Linked DNA regions of Notamacropus eugenii. The protein of the gene in region 1 interacts with the protein of each later gene in a biochemical or structural test. Links are inferred from orthologs where the notes say so. Each region holds a gene or a part of one and is shown in the gene's direction. Other genes may lie near its edges.

The links. The genes of interacting proteins can lie anywhere in the genome.
Region 2: the proteins of LRRK1 (region 1) and NUDT16L1 form a complex in vitro, tested with the Homo sapiens proteins (2 studies listed by BioGRID and IntAct, with this or other methods). The link is inferred for Notamacropus eugenii from reciprocal best matches to the Homo sapiens genes LRRK1 and NUDT16L1.

Annotation. Positions count from the first base shown.
Region 1 is NC_092872.1:153,611,912-153,615,654, reverse strand, and holds the start of LRRK1 (leucine-rich repeat serine/threonine-protein kinase 1), read left to right. Parts: upstream 1-1,386; 5' UTR 1,387-1,486; intron 1,487-3,743.
Region 2 is NC_092872.1:82,021,570-82,025,312, forward strand, and holds NUDT16L1 (tudor-interacting repair regulator protein), read left to right. Parts: upstream 1-864; coding exon 865-1,017; intron 1,018-1,257; coding exon 1,258-1,518; intron 1,519-2,382; coding exon 2,383-2,604; 3' UTR 2,605-3,462; downstream 3,463-3,743. UniProt on the Homo sapiens protein: Key regulator of TP53BP1 required to stabilize TP53BP1 and regulate its recruitment to chromatin.

The DNA of each region.
Region 1 (3,743 bases):
CACAGGGCGAGGCTTCCTAGCAGAGGTTCAGTCTGTTTGTAGGCCCGGAAAAGAGTTAAGAAATAACTAAGTCCAGGACATAGGGATGAGAGAGATATGTGAACCATGCAGATAAGTGCCTGTAGCCTTAATACACACTTAAAAGACTTAGGAAATATTTTTCCTAATGACAATCTCATGAAATACCACACTTGAAGCTTGTAACTATTATTAGACCCATTTTACAGATGAGGAAACTGGGGTTGAAAGATTCAATTTCTTTCTTGGCCTTATAGGGGCAGATAGATTTGTATAGTACATAGAATGGTAGGTCAGGAGTCAGGGAAGACGAGTTCAAATTCTGCCTCAAACACTTGGTAGCTTCATGACTACAACAAATCACTAAAACTATAAAATGGATAAAATAAAAGCAGTTGTTGAGGATCAAATAAAATATTTGTAAGACACAGCCCAGAACCTGGCACTTAGTAGGAGCTTTATAAATGCTTATTCCCTTCCCTTCATTAGAGTTAGTGACAAACCGGATTCAAATTCAGGTCTTTCTGACTCCAAGCCCAGAGCCTGCCACCACTTGCTCATAGTCACAGATCACCTAAAGGAATAAAGACATATTTTGAAGGCTTTAGCGGTCCAATTTGACTGGAGCATACAGTAATAATGGAAGGGGGAAGTCATCTAAGTTTAGACTGAAAAAAATAGGCAGGTGTCAGAACAGGGGAAGGACGTTACTTGACAAATTCGATTTTCACATCAGTTTCTGCTTCACTGAATGGAGAATATGGACAAGGGGAAGCTGCAAATTGTTTCTATATACAGATACATTAAATAAACGTTAGTAGGATGAGGCAGGGTTGCGTGGTGGATACAGCACACTGACTTCGGGGCCCGAAAGACTTCAAGTCCTGACTGACAGATACTGTGTCACCTTGGGGAAGGGAGTAACCTTCCCTGGACCTCAGTTTCCTCTTCTGTAAAAGCAGGGGACAGACTCCGAGGACCTTGATTCAAGTCTCCTAATTTCCATGGGCCTCAGTTTCCACATCTGTAAAATCGAGGGAGGACTCGAGAGCCTCTGCACTCTGCCCCGGGGCCGTGGTAATTTCTTTGGGTCGGAACTCCTCCTCCCCCGGCCACTGCTGCATTTCCTTCCAGGGTTCGATGTGGCCGCAGTAACCAGCCCCCCAACTTGACTCCTCCGCGGCCGGCCGCTCCCCAGCCCCCCGCCCGCCTCTCCCTTGGGCTGGCTGGTTACGGAGGAAGGGAGGTCCCGGCCGTGGCCCAGACCGTGACCGCGACCGGGGCCCAGGCGGAGCGCGGGAAGCGGGGGGAGGAAGGGGGGCGCTGCTCCGCTCCGGCCACGCCCTCCCCGGGGGACTCCCGCCCACGCCTCCCGCTTCCCTCCCTCCCCACGGAGGGAGCGGCAGTCGCGCTGAGCCCCGATTCCACCTGGCAGCGCGGGGGCCCCGGACCCCTCCCAGAGGAGCAGGTAAGCTTCTCCTCGGCCCCCTCCCCTATCTTGCTTTTTCCTCCTCCGGGACGCATCCACGCAGTTTGCGAGTGGGGCGGCAGGGCAGAGGCCACGCCAGGGGCTGGCCTCCTCGGGTCGGCCACCTCTGGAGGGCGGCCCGGCTGCCTCCGGAGCCCAGAGGACGTGGATCTTGGCCGGGGTGGGGGTGGGTGGGGGCGGGAACTTCCCCAGGTGCTGCTCACCTGGGCTCGGCCCGGGACAGAGCCGGCTGCCCGCGGCGCTGCGGGATACTCCGAAACCCAAACTTGCCTTCTGCTGCCGGGATTTCTCTGCAGTGACTCACATCCCCTGGGAGCTGCCTGCGAAGGGGACGGAATGTGGGTCCGGCTGGGGGGAGGGGGCTTGGGCGTCCGAACTTGGGGTTTGGGGAGAAGCAAGACCGGGGAACCGAGAAGGAAATCGGAGGACCCCGTCCAGTAGAGATAGGCACCAACTTCCTACCCTTGGGGACAAGTCCCTCCTGCAGTCCGCGATCCGTCCGGAGCTTAAACAGTGCCTGACACGCAGAGTGGGCGCCAAATAAATGTGTTTTACTTATTACTATCAGCCAAATCCTATTCTGCGTGCGCTTCCTTTTGCCAGTCTTTTAAAGGATGCCTGTTAAGGGGGTTATTTCCCCCAGAGACTCTTTTGGAGCCTGATCTGAGATGTCTAGAAACAAAAGCACCTTGCTTTTTTTTAAAACCATATGTAAGATTTTTTTATTCCTCTCTTCTGTATCTGTCAGGACATGCTGGAGGAGAAAAAAAATCACTTCCTAGGAAAAAAACCAACAAAAACAAGTAATGACACTCTTGCTGAAGTAGGATTTCAAATGATCCTTCAGAACCTAGACTTGGTTTGATAAGCTGCCGTGGTATTTGTGTAAGACGTTAAAAGAGGCCATTGTGATTAAGTAGCATTGTTTGAAACAGCAAAAGAAAAAAAGGAAGGACATGGGGTGTTAAAGAACTGACATCTAAACTTTCCCTTTGCTTTCAGACAAAATGCTTGGCCTTAGGCCTCCTTTCTTTTCTTTTTTAACATTTGGTTGTCAAGTCCTCGTATTTGGAGAAAAAGGGCATTTGGAGTTTAATTTCACTAAGTATGCATGGAAAGCAAAATATTGTCTAGTTGATAGGAATGTACTTAAATAAAATAAACTTTCAGGTCCTCCCACCTCAGTTAAACATTTTAGGAAAATTTGAGTTTTCTATTACCCTGATTCCTCCCATGGGGGTTTGGGGAAGATTAATGAGAATACCATTTACCTCTGTAATACCTGGGATATTGTTTTTGGCCAAAAACTCTTGAAGAAACTTACACTAACTTTGCCTGGAAGTTCAAGAATTTACTTCAGCAGGTGAACAGGGATACCTCAGGACATGCCCTCTTTATCTGCCAGTCGTGATTTGAAGGCCTTGGAAAACTGTGCTTGAAGGGACAGGGTAACAAATACTTTCCTAAGTCTGTGTGGCATTGTGATCCCTTTTTTCTGTGATTGTCTCTCACCAGCAGGCCTTTTCGCTGGATACTCTCTGTATCTCTACCTGTTGGGTTTAGTAAAAAGTCAGTCTTGAATTACTGAAATCTTTAAAGGCCCAATCGAGGTACTACTTCCTCTATATTGGCTGATCCACTGTCCTCAGCCTCACTCCCAAACTACCAGCTAAACTGATATATCTCCTCCTCAAATTTTCTTAGAGCACTTTGTCCTGAACTTTTATTGTTAATCACATTCTGCCTTCTGTCAGTTAATTTGTACATTTTTGCACATTTGTATAGCTGGAGAATTGATGTTGCCACCAAAAAGTCAGCACCCTGCTGCTTTGCTGATACACTTCTCCAAACTTAGGCTGGTTCTTACACAAAAGACCTAGGAGCTACCCTGTAAGTCTTTGCTGCCAGGTAGAATCCTCTAGAGCTTTACTTTATGAATTGCAAAGACTTTTTGAACCCAGTCACCTCTAGGCTGCAATTAGGCCCAGCCTTAGGACTTTCTGGTTTTACTTTCACCCTGACACACCCCTTTGAAGTAAATGGACTTCATTACTATCTTACTTTTGTGGGAGGGAGATGTGAGATCACAAAGAGAATATTGCTTTTATTCGGAGCTTTCGGAATCTTTGTAAGATGAAATGTTATGGGATACAGGCCTTTTTATTTTGAAAGATACATTTATATAGGTAGAAAAAGTTTGGAAACCACCCTTTGGCTGAAAAATGGAAAATTTACA
Region 2 (3,743 bases), about 72 Mb from region 1:
CACTAGGACTTTGGGGACACCGCCTTTCTCCGCTCGGCCTTACCCTAACCACTGAGCCGCCCCTTGTAACAAGGCAGTGGGGGAGGGGAATCTCCCACGGACCCAGTCGTCCCCGGGCCTGCCGGGCCCCCCGTCCGGCCCCTCCGCGAAGGAGGGGCAGGGGTGCATCGCTCCCCACGCGGCCGGAGCCCCCCGGGGCACGGACCGCCCGGCGGTCCCTTCCCCTGGGGCGGGAGGGGCAGGGAGCGCCCGGGGCCCTGGGGCCCTGCCGACCCGGCTCCGGCTCCGACCGCAGAGCGCTCCCCGGCCACGAGGGGAGCCGCCCTCCACCCCCACCGGGAAACAGCGGGGTTCGCACCCGCGACGACCCGGGACCCGGAGCCTCGGCCCCTCTCGGTTAAACTGCCCAACTGGACACGGAACCTTCTAGGGCACCCGAGGAGCCCGGGCCGGAATACAAGCATTCCATTGGCTGCCGCCGGCAGGTAGGCGGGGCTGCGGGCGCTGCACGTTGGGCCATCGCAGTCTGGAAATCCTCCCTGAGACCAACCCCCAGAATCTTCTGTGACGATTGGCTTGAGGACACGTCAATCATTTGGCCAACCCGTCCCTGCCTGTAAGTGACAAACGCCCAGGAGAAACCTGGAACGTGATTGGCCGGTTTTTAGGACAAAGGCGAACCAAAGCAAGACCAAGCCCATCGATTGGCCGCGGCCTGACAACGTGTTCCGGCAATTGGCGAGACAAGACTGGGTGAGGGGAGAGCTCGGCCTCCTTTCCGGGGATTGGTGGAAACACGAGGAAGGGGGGCGGGGACGCAGCTACTTTTCCGCTGCCTGGGGGTGCTGCGTCCTAGCGGGCAAGATGTCGGCTTCGCGGGTGCCGGAGCTGAAGCAGATCAGCCGCGGGGAGGCTATGCGTCTCGGGCCCGGCTGGAGCCACTCTTGCCACGCCATGCTCTACGCAGCCAATCCCGGGCAGTTGTTCGGGCGGATCCCCTTGCGCTTCTCGGTTCTGGTGAGGGCGGAGGGAGAGTGCGGCCGGACTGCGGGGCGGAGGGTGGGCGGAGCCGGCCGGGCCGAGGAGCCGGAGCCGCGGCTGCGGGGGAGCGGGGTGCCGGGCCGCCTGGGGCCGAGGGAGCGCGGAGGCGGGGCCGAGGCCGGGGGATCGGGGCTGAGCGCGCCGGCCGCAGACGGCGGGAGCCGGAGGGAGAGCCGCGGCCCGCCCGGCCCGCTGACCCGAGCGGTTCTGTTGCAGATGCAGATGCGCTTTGACGGGCTCCTGGGCTTCCCTGGGGGGTTTGTGGATCGTCGGTTCTGGTCCCTGGAAGACGGGCTGAACCGGGTGCTGGGCTTAGGCTTGGGCTACCTGCGCCTCACGGAAGCCGACTACCTGAGCTCGCACCTCACGGAGGGCCCGCACCGCGTCGTGGCCCACCTGTACGCCCGGCAGCTCACCCTGGAGGAGCTGCACGCGGTGGAGATCAGCGCGGTGCACTCGCGGGACCACGGGCTGGAGGTGGGGCGCCGGCCGAGGTCTCCAGCGTTGGGCCGCAGGGGGTGACGGTGGCGCCCGGGGAGGGGAGGGAGGGGAGAGGCCGGGAGCGGGGCCGGGAGCGGGGCCGGGCTGGGGGGCCGGGAGTGGGGTCGGGAGCGGGGCCGGGCTGCGGGGTCGGGAGCGGGGCCGGGAGCGGGGCCGGGAGCGGGGCCGGGCTGGGAGGTCGGGAGCGGGGCCGGGCCGGGGGGCCGGGAGCGGGGCCGGGCTGCGGGGTCGGGAGCGGGGCCGGGCTGGGGGGCCGGGAGCGGGGCCGGGCTGCGGGATCGGGAGCGGGGCCGGGCTGGGGGGCCGGGAGCGGGGTCGGGAGCTTGGCCGGGAGCGGGGCTGGGCTGCGGGGTCGGGAGCGGGGCTGGGCTGCGGGGTCGGGAGCGGGGCCGGGCTGCGGGGTCGGGAGCGGGGCCGAGGTGGCCAAGAAGTTTCCTTGCGTTGGGGAACGGGGCGTTGCTTATGCAGACGATGGGTGGGAAAAGGGAGAGTAGGACTTGGGAAAGTTGGGGTTTTGTGGGATTGAGATGGGATGTGGAGGGAGGGAGGGGTGTGGGGCTTGGGCTGGGGAGGAGGTCGTAAGGTCCCAGGGGTGCTCGGGGTCCGAGGGCTGCCCGCGTCCCCCCCCCCGCTCGGAATTCAGGAAGGTGTGCATTGTAAATGGACGCACTAAGGGATCCAGGAGAAGCCGCGGGAAGACTTCCCCGTAACATAGGTTCCCAGGGGGTAATTGGACCTCCAGGTGGCCAAGCAGCCCTTGGCACGCACGGGGCTCAGCAGGGGGGAGCCCAGCCCGGTCCCCAGCTGGGTTCCCGACGGCCCTGTCCGCTCTTGTTGCAGGTGCTGGGCCTGGTCCGGGTTCCCCTGTACACCCAGAAGGATCGAGTTGGTGGGTTCCCCAACTTCCTTAGCAATGCCTTCATCAGCACCGCCAAGCACCAGCTGCTCTTTGCCCTGAAGGTGCTGAATATGATGCCCGAGGACAAGCTGGCTGAGGCCTTGGCTGCTGCTACTGAGAAACAGAAAAAAGCCTTGGAGCAACAGCAGACTGCTTCCTCCTGAAGCCACCCTCCCCATCCCTGGGGCTGGGTTTTCTCTCCCTGTCTCTTTCCCTGCCCCGTCTTTTATCCACATTTTCTATGCTCCAGGGGCTGAGAAAAGACTTGAGATAATTCTACATTCCACAGAGGTGTGGGGTCTCTCCCTGCTTCCCCCCCATGCCTGAAAAGGAGTGCATTTCATTCCTGCCTTCGACCTCTGTGTAGTCCTTTTCTTTGACCTGGCTGCAAAGCAGCAGTGGCGGAGCCGCAGCCTGGGCTGGCACTTCAGGTTGGTGTAGAGGGGTGCGAGAGGAGCAGCACCTGGCCGAGGTTTGGAGTGACCCGTTTATTAGCACTAGCTTCAGTGTTTGGCCTTTGGGGTCAAGGTCAAGACCTTGACATTTCTCTGCATGAATCGTTTGTTTCAAGGGGCAGTTGTCAGTTTGGTTCAGGCCCCAGGTATAAGGGTGTTCTGGTTTAAAAGTTCCCTAATTCTCAAGGATGCTTTGGGTTACATTGGCGTGTTCCTGCTTGTTCCATTTCCTTACCCCAAAGAGGGAAGGAATCGAGGTTTTGGTGGGATGTGGCTGGGGCTTTTTTGGTTCTCTTTCATTTTGGAATTGTTAGGTTTTATATTCATGTGGAATATGGGATTTTAAAGTAACTTTCAGCCGGTCTCTGCCTATTTTGAAAGAGCTTGGGCAGTTTAGCCTGACTAGGGTGGACAGGGGATGCTCTTTCCCTGAAAGCCTGGGAAAGGCTAGGGCTTGGTGTATTGTTTTGTATGTGTGCATACATCTGTATGTGTGAGACTGTGTGCGTGTGTGCTCCCTCAAGTGCAAATCTGAGCAGGAAAGAAAAATAAAGTGGCTTGACAGCTCCTTGGTGTGGCCCTCCTTTTATCTTCAGCAGAGGGATTCTGGAGTCCCCGTCCCTGGGATCCTGGGGCATAAGAGTGAAGATGCTATGTTTTCGTAGGGAGAGGACTGGCCAGTCATCACTGAGCCATGCACACTCCTTTCAGATCCCTGGAAGTGTGTATTTCTAAGGAAGCTAAGACTGTGGGGGCAGCATAGCTTCGGACTCAAGAGTTTTTCTTTGTTCAGAGCTGGCTGTATCAAACCTGTGACCTTGGCCTTGTTAATACCATGTTCTATCAGG